Linked DNA regions of Bombyx mori. The protein of the gene in region 1 purifies or fractionates together with the protein of each later gene. This does not show direct contact. Links are inferred from orthologs where the notes say so. Each region holds a gene or a part of one and is shown on either strand. Other genes may lie near its edges.

Region 1 (3,957 bases):
CGAGGATGTCCTTAAAGTCGATGGACTCCAGCTCGTCAGTATCGCCTCCTCTTAAAATCATATTTATCTTCTTCTCCTCCAGTTCTTTGTCGATCTAGAAAGATATAGATAGTGGATTTAGGTCACTTTTTTTTATTGCTTTAATGTGTGGAAGAGCACACAGCCCACCTGCTATTAAGTGGTTACTAGAGCCCATAGACATCTACAACGCAAATGCGCCACTCACCTTGAGATATAAGTTCTAAGGTCTCAATATAGTTACAATGGCTACCCCACCTTTCTAACGGAAATGCATTACTGCTTCACGGCAGGAATAGGCGGGGTGGTGGTACCTACCCGTGCGTACTCACAAGAGGTCCTACCACCAGTAATTACGCAAATTACAATTTTGCGGTTTTTATTTTTATTACACGATTTTAATTACAACAAAATTAACCGATGAATGTAATTTAAATGTAAATACCTTCACGAAATCCTTTACTCTGATAGCTGGCTTCTTCATAATGTTTGTAGTTTTTTCTGTGTCCCGCCCGTAGTACGAGCGACTTGAAGAATGCCTCTCTGATGAACCGATGCCTGTAATCAATTACTTTGAGTTTTTAATTATTGACTGGCTTAATTTTCAGTATTCATTTAATTTTTAGGAGTAATCAAACTGAATAAAGCTCAGCTATTTTTAAACGCTTACTCCTGTCTGAATTGTGAAGTTCTGAATGTAATGTTATCATTAAAAAAAATAGAGTCATTCATTGATTGAATTCAACATCATTACTTAATGATTGATTAATGATTTTGTATTAATTTAGTAGCTATGATTCACAGAACTCAGTTGTACGGGAGATTGGAAGAATGTTTCGTGGATTTATAAAAACAAATGATGAATCATTCAAACAATTTAAACTAACATATTGATACGGTTGTATGAAGCCATGGTCATTTCACTTTTAACAATAGCTTTTAATTATGGCATGAAAATGAATTCATTCATTGTGTAAGGTGAAATCTATAGGAACTAACGTCAATGTATCATCTCAATTGCAACAAAACAGTTTGGTTTTAAAAATGTATTCTGATAGATGTAATAGTGATTACCGCACAAACATCATTGGCAAAATAAACTGACTATATATATTATTATTTTTACATGTAATTCTACTTTCTTATCATCAATAACTCTATTAAACATAATAAATACTTTATTTCCAATGTTTGGAATACATTGGAGGTTTTGTGGTCATAACCTGATATTAAACTGTAAATTTTAATTATGCCTATGACTAGCAACAACAAAAATATTGTATATTATTGTTAATATAATATTGTAATAAATTATCAGTTATTTTGATGGGTAGCTAATGATTATAGAAGACAAATAAATTATTTATTTAAAATGTTAACCTTCAGAGAAGACACCAGCAGATTTTATTAGTGTTGGCCCATTTCTCTGATTCCTGTTAAAATTCCGGTTCCTGTTTGAATCCCTGCTGTTCTTCTCTTCATTCCTTGTTTCTTTGGCACTTGTTGTTGCTTGTCTATAATTATACTTGAATTAATTTCATTACACTAGATCAAAATATATTAATAACTCTAATTTTATACTAATGGTGGTAATGCACTATTTCCATCCCGGTTTGAAGGGTGGGGCAGCTGTTCCACAATATAATTGAGGCTTCAACCTCATATCTAAACGTTAATCATGGCATTCGTGGTGTGCTAAAGTGGTGGTAGTGGTCTAAAGACACTGGTATCCATTTACCTGGCTCTGTAATATATAAATAAAAACAATCAACCTTATATATTTACAGGGATGCTGACAGTTCAGAAGCGTGTCAGCCTCCTGTAGTAAAAGGATTAAAAGCCACATTTGTGATTTTTTATAACTTGCATACAAACAGGAACAGGAGCTAGGTGTCTTGGGCATGACGTGGGAGGAGCTAGAACAGACTGCTCAAGACCGATATAAATGGAAAATTTGATTCAAGCCCTACACCCCAGCAGAGGCTAATAGGAAATAATGATTATGATGATGATTGCATACAAACATAATGTTGCAGTATTTAAGATTATTACGATGATGCTAGATTTTTTTTAACTAGGGGATGACGTGAGCTTGGCATTTTAGGTTTTTAGAGGTATTATATTTCATTTGAAATCAATGTTTCTTATTTTTTAAGTCAAAGATTAAAAATTACAAACTTGACTACGGTTAGTTGTCAGCAGCCATGGTTTAGGGTTATTATTATTTTAGAATATAGAGCGGTTTCAGATTGCAAGTAAGTCATGTATGTGCACTGTGAACTTTTGTAGAACATTTTGTTATTGTGGCTGATAACTGAAATAACTAATCCACCCAAGGCATAATGGTTTCGCAGTTTCACATTCCGTCAACGGAGTACATTGCTCGGTCAGTGCCTCACGAAAGCGAAGTTCTTAACGAGTGCCCAATGTGTCCAGAATTGATGGCGATATTGTGGTGGTTGCAAAAAATAACCATCTCTGTAATGTATTCTTACATTCTGAATGTAACTCACCCTTTATTTTTACTCCGAGCTACGTTCAAGTTAGGTGTGAAGACTTTTTTGTTTGGTTTGACTCCTCCAAGCATAAGATCTCTGGGTGCTTTTAATGAAGCGAGCCTCTGCATGGGATCTGTACCCAGTCCATTCGGTTTAGATGATTTATCACCGGACATTGCAATTTCTTTTTCAAAGTAATATATTAGTTTGAAATTTAGAAACTCTTTTATTTGTCTAACCTATAAAAATGTTTTCAAACATACATCAGCTGCAGCTGACATACAAAAGGAACGCATGCTATACAGCCAAGACTTTTGGAAAATGGCTGGCGCAATGCTACTGTGTAAAATGTACATAATATTTCCAGTGATTTTGATTTGTACACATAGGTATTATATTATATTGTAAGAACGTAAGATGGGATTAGTTCGGGCTCAATTCTCAGGGTCCCTTTCTCAAATAAAATTCCACAAAAGAGCTCTACTAGCTTGACTAGGCTCCACTTTCCCTTGTACTCTGCTGTACAATATAGTTTAAAACGGGTGAATAATACTCTTAGCTTTTTACATTTTATTTATGATACGGTACTGTGATATATTTTACCATATTGTTTTTACATATTTTTATTAATATATTATTCGCCAAGGGCTGGTCATTCTATTAGTTTATAATCTATGACATATGTTCTTTGCCGTTGATTCGTCGTTGTTTTGAAAATGAGTGAACACTGAACTTTAGTAGCCGTTTGAAATTCGTTAAACAATAGCAAATAACGACGATATAGAAAAAATCAGTCTATCGAAATTAACCTTCGATTTAGCCACAATGTCTCTGTTTGATATTTTTGGAGATCACCTTACTAGACAGGCCGTGAAAAATGTTTCCCGGCAACCTCTGCATAATATAGGTAAATATAATTTATTTTAAAAAGTTTTACCACTCTTAAAAAATAATATATCTGAGCTAAATGAGACCACACATTATTCATTAGGAAACCGCAGCTTGAATGAATTGCATTATGTTTTAATTATATAACTTACTTTTTCTTTTAAGTCGGTTCACGTCGTAATGTATCTAGCAGCAGCTGTACACTTACAAACTATGTCCATCAGACTATATTTTCATTTTTCAATGCGAATGTTTTGCCTACAATGACATATTGTTACAATTAGAAATCATCATCAGCCCAAAGTCCTAGAACTGTCCAAACTGCTAGACGTAGGTCTCCCCCAATATACACCATTGAAGCCAGTCGTCGGCTATGCTCATCAATTTTCGTAACTGCGCAACCTTCGCAAATCATCACCTTAAACATTTCTGATGGAAAAAATGGCAAAAAATATGTTCATGAACAATTGTTATGTAGTAATTTTTCAATTAATAAGTGATTTTCAGAAAACATGGGCAAAGTAGTCTCAGCAGGCCCCACAAAACCAAATGA
Region 2 (4,199 bases), on another chromosome or scaffold:
TTTTTTTACTTTTTTAGATTTTTGGGTTTGTAAATTAAACCTTAGACACAGCCCACTTAGTTTCTCACCAGATCATCTCACTGGGTCGCGATTCCGATCCAGTGGTAGATTCTGAGAAGCACTGCCCTTGCTAGGGCTAGTGTTAGCAAATTCGCCAGACTGAGCCTGTAAGCTTACCTACACGTTAGGTGAAGCTAGACCCCCTTGAGGTAACCAGCATTGATAGCAAAAAAACTGTTGCACATGTAATTATTTGTGGCATTTTTATGATTTCATTAATTTACATATGGCTACTTACATATGAAATGATCCCGAACTCTACTTAGGATTGCTGAATCTTTGATTGTGTCATATCTATAAACATTACGACTACATGCATCATATCTTGCATCTTTCACATATGCTCGGTTTTTAGAGTCAATACCAATAACACCTGGTGAGAAACAACTCTGCAACAGTGTGGCTTCACTGTCACAAACTTCACGAGTCAGTGTTACCTCTGGCAGCAATCTGTATGTAGCTGTTGCTGTAGAATAAAATGGATATGTTAGTTAAACCATTTTTTTTAATAATTAAAATAAGCTTATCTCATTTTATAAAATATTCATAAGAAGGGACTAACCAACAGGTGAAAATTTTGCATGATCCTTTCCTATGCCCTTCACGGCAATCATTTGAAGGTCTATTTCATGGCCAGGTCTCATTTTTGATATAAGAATATCCTTATGTACAGGACCCACATCAGCTTCTTTATAAACTGTAGCTTGGTTGCCAATTGGATGCCACTTCATATGGGATGAATAAACTGTATAAACATATTTGTAATTAACTAAGTATTAAGAATAACAAAATCATCTAGCATTATATAAAAAAACTATAAATATAAATTTCATAGATTAGTCCATAGTTCAAAAAATCAGCTCTGTGTTCTGTCCTATCAGCATACAACAATACCACTCTATATCTTACCATGGTGTTGTTACAGGTGGCTAAAAAATTTACCAGAAAATGGCAGTAACATTCTATAAGTTTGGTATTGGTAGTCATAATTTATCTTGTCCATTTCTACTGCAAAGGAATCCAGTTTGTAAGGATAGCTGTTTTGCTATGGAATGGAAACTTCAATCCCATATCTTAATGTGAGTGAATCACCTATATCTATGCACTGCAGCAAGCTTAATACCAGGGCCATATGCTGATCTGCGATCTACTGTTATATTAAAAACATTAATAGGCTGTTTGTTACACATTATTATATTGATATACAGAAAACTCACTACTATGATTTTCATACAAATCTTCAGCTCTATATGAATCTTTTGGTTGTGACTTGCTATTGGTACATTTTACTTTTAGTGAAAATTCTAAAGTGTTGAATTCTGTTCCTTCCGTGTCTTCTGAAAATAAAATTTCAAATTATTTACAAGAGCTGCTCAAACAATTCTTTTATTTTCTGTTAACTTTTTTTATTTCATCATAGTTACAATAATAAAAATGGACCAGGCATCTTATCCTTTAGGCTGTGAAAACTTTACTGATTATGAGATATAAATGTTTATTGAGGTATAAAAGTGAGTATTTAATAACATCTTGCATTCCAGCTCTAAATTGTCAATTTTAGGATACTAGAAAAATGAATATTTGTGGTTTTATTAGTGTACTAGTTTACGTAATTGATAAATAAAAAATAATTAGACAACCAATTTCACAGAAAACAATCATCTTCCAAAACGAATGCCCACATATGGTCTCGGCTTTGTAATAATTTGTACACAAACCTTCAGATTTATATTCAAACAATCTTGGATCAGCTTTGAGAGGAATCAATCCTAATCTGTGTGCTAAAACTTCATCCTGTATTATAGAAGTGTTGTTCTTGATCATTACTTTTTCAATAGCCATACTAGGAACTTCACTTAACATGAGTCTCCGGAATGCGTTCGCAAATGCTGGCTGGATCCCAATCAAGTCAAATTCCATTTCGAAATTGTCCATTCGTACTACAACTATCTTAAACTTCTTCACAAACTTTTTGAAGTCCCATGTTTCATCGTCTAATCCGTAATCTTCGGGTGCATTCTGTACGGGCAAAAATTATTAGGTTATGATCATGTGCATTTTTATCGTTGTAAATAAGTCTTGCAATTTAAAGGAGAACCTTAACACGGAATTCTTCAAGAAAAACTCGGGGTTTTTCATCGAATTTAGGCATTTTTGCAATATTTTACTAATTAATGTAAATAAGGTTTTATCTTATTTCACAGGTATACAGTAACGTTTACTGTATATAAAGTTTGTCGCATATTTTTATACAGATATAATTGACAAAATTAAATATTTCGATGATTTTACGTAAGGTAGTGATCATAGATTATACACTTAAGTAGTGATTTTAAGTAATTTTTAGTAGGTAATTTAAACTTTGACTATGTAGTAAGTAATGTAAGTTTGTACTTATGTAGGTACATAGGTACGGTACCGGTAAAATGGGGCGATTAGGGATTGACAGGCGAATCGGGAAAAAACCGGGAAAATCTTTCGACGCTCAATATAAGTTTTATATTCGTTGCAAAATCTTCCATTTTTTGTAGTTTAATAGTAGAATGTTGAAAGTTCACAAAACAACTCTGAATATGCATGATAATAGCTGCTAACTTATAAAAAATCGCGTTTCAAATTAACTTCCTGTGGTGGTCATTATTTTAGTGCTAGAAACTTTGCTCTCTTTTATTTATTTGATAATAATAGAAGACGACTATGATTTATAAACGTTATTTAGTGTTTGAACCAGCATATATATTAAAGGTAAGTCTCAGTTGTTATTGCTTTTAATGTATTTGATTAAATAAAAATACATGTAAAAATCTGTTGTTTTTGGGGTTATTGGGGACGTCTTAGGTACAAATAACAACGAAAAAGGGGTCAATTGGGATGAGAATACGTGAAATGGAAACGACCTAAGTATAAATAGGTACAGGTTTGTAGGGTTGTCTATGTAGTTATAACAATATTTTTTGAATTTGTTGGTAAATATCTGGTTTATTCGAAGCGAAATTGGGAATAAGTCTTTATTTGAAATAGATAAGCAATTTAATATAAGTAAGTCGATTTTGCAGAGACATGTAACAAGATCAATGAAATCTCAAGGTGGACAAAAATGTCTAAGTAATACATAATAAAATATTTAATATTTGTTCAGAGTGGGGGTATTCATCTGATTAATCCATGGAATAACCGACACACCTAATCTCTTAACCCAGATAGAAATATCAGCACTGTCGATTGCACCTATAATTGAGGTGATGTCTGCCATGTACTTTTGTCAGTTTTTCATTTTTTTTTATTGATGATCACTTTGTTGGTGCAACTAAATAAATAAATAAATTAAAACTATATATAAAAATAAAAATAGTGCCAACCCTAGCAAATTTCTCATTACATCCCAATTAACCGCAATTTTCGGGTAAATAGAGATTACACCTATTTTTGCATTTTTTGCTTAAACTGGAATGCTAGTTGCATAATTTTAAATTAGACAACAAAGATGCCCCCAAGACTCAATCATTTTGATCCTGATATAGCATTATATACATCAACAACTACCTTAAAATTGCTCATAAAGTTGGAATTTGTCCCTAATCGCCCCATTTTACGGTACGGTACCGTACCGTATTGGAAAATAAATAGAGGTTTTTACTTGTTTGAATTGACAACTCGCTGGGCAAAAGGATCAAAGACCATACAATCCTAATTTTTGTTACAGTAAGTGAAGTCGTGTCTGTTTTATGTAAATCGAAACAGAAAGAAATGAAAAAAGTGTGTGTGTCCGCTCCGACGCACGACTGGAGTTTACTGGATATAAAAAATTAAACGAAACAATACGAGAAATAGTTCTATATTACGACAACACGATACACTACAGATTATTAACAAATTAACGAGACACAAAACAAACGACTAACAAATATATGAAAATACAATAATGAGAGAAACGCGCGATCAGTACGAGGCTTTGTGGCGGACTGCCGGCGCAGCAGCCCGGCGTCACCTGCGATAACGCGGCCGCGCGTTGGCTCCTGATTGGCGCGCGCACGCATCACGCAATCAGGAGCCAATCAGGCGCATAACGCATTTCGTGTGACATGCTAGTACGATTTTGGTCCCCATAATTTTCATACCCCGGGCCTATATATGTAAAT

The links. The genes of interacting proteins can lie anywhere in the genome.
Region 2: the proteins of DNA-directed RNA polymerase III subunit RPC4 (region 1) and DNA-directed RNA polymerases I and III subunit RPAC1 purify together in Homo sapiens (affinity purification with mass spectrometry; 6 studies listed by BioGRID and IntAct, counting the BioPlex papers as one, with this or other methods). This does not show direct contact. The link is inferred for Bombyx mori from reciprocal best matches to the Homo sapiens genes POLR3D and POLR1C.

The regions. Positions count from the first base shown.
Region 1 is NC_085113.1:12,563,576-12,567,532, reverse strand, and holds the start of DNA-directed RNA polymerase III subunit RPC4, read right to left. Parts: upstream 2,806-3,957; 5' UTR 2,693-2,805; coding exon 2,532-2,692; intron 1,533-2,531; coding exon 1,399-1,532; intron 577-1,398; coding exon 464-576; intron 95-463; coding exon 1-94. Other genes in the region: uncharacterized protein LOC101743779, read left to right, coding at 3,342-3,423, 3,912-3,957. UniProt on the Homo sapiens protein: DNA-dependent RNA polymerase catalyzes the transcription of DNA into RNA using the four ribonucleoside triphosphates as substrates.
Region 2 is NC_085131.1:5,578,894-5,583,092, reverse strand, and holds the start of DNA-directed RNA polymerases I and III subunit RPAC1, read right to left. Parts: upstream 2,811-4,199; 5' UTR 2,213-2,810; coding exon 2,159-2,212; intron 2,080-2,158; coding exon 1,779-2,079; intron 1,398-1,778; coding exon 1,278-1,397; intron 806-1,277; coding exon 623-805; intron 527-622; coding exon 299-526; intron 1-298. UniProt on the Homo sapiens protein: DNA-dependent RNA polymerase catalyzes the transcription of DNA into RNA using the four ribonucleoside triphosphates as substrates.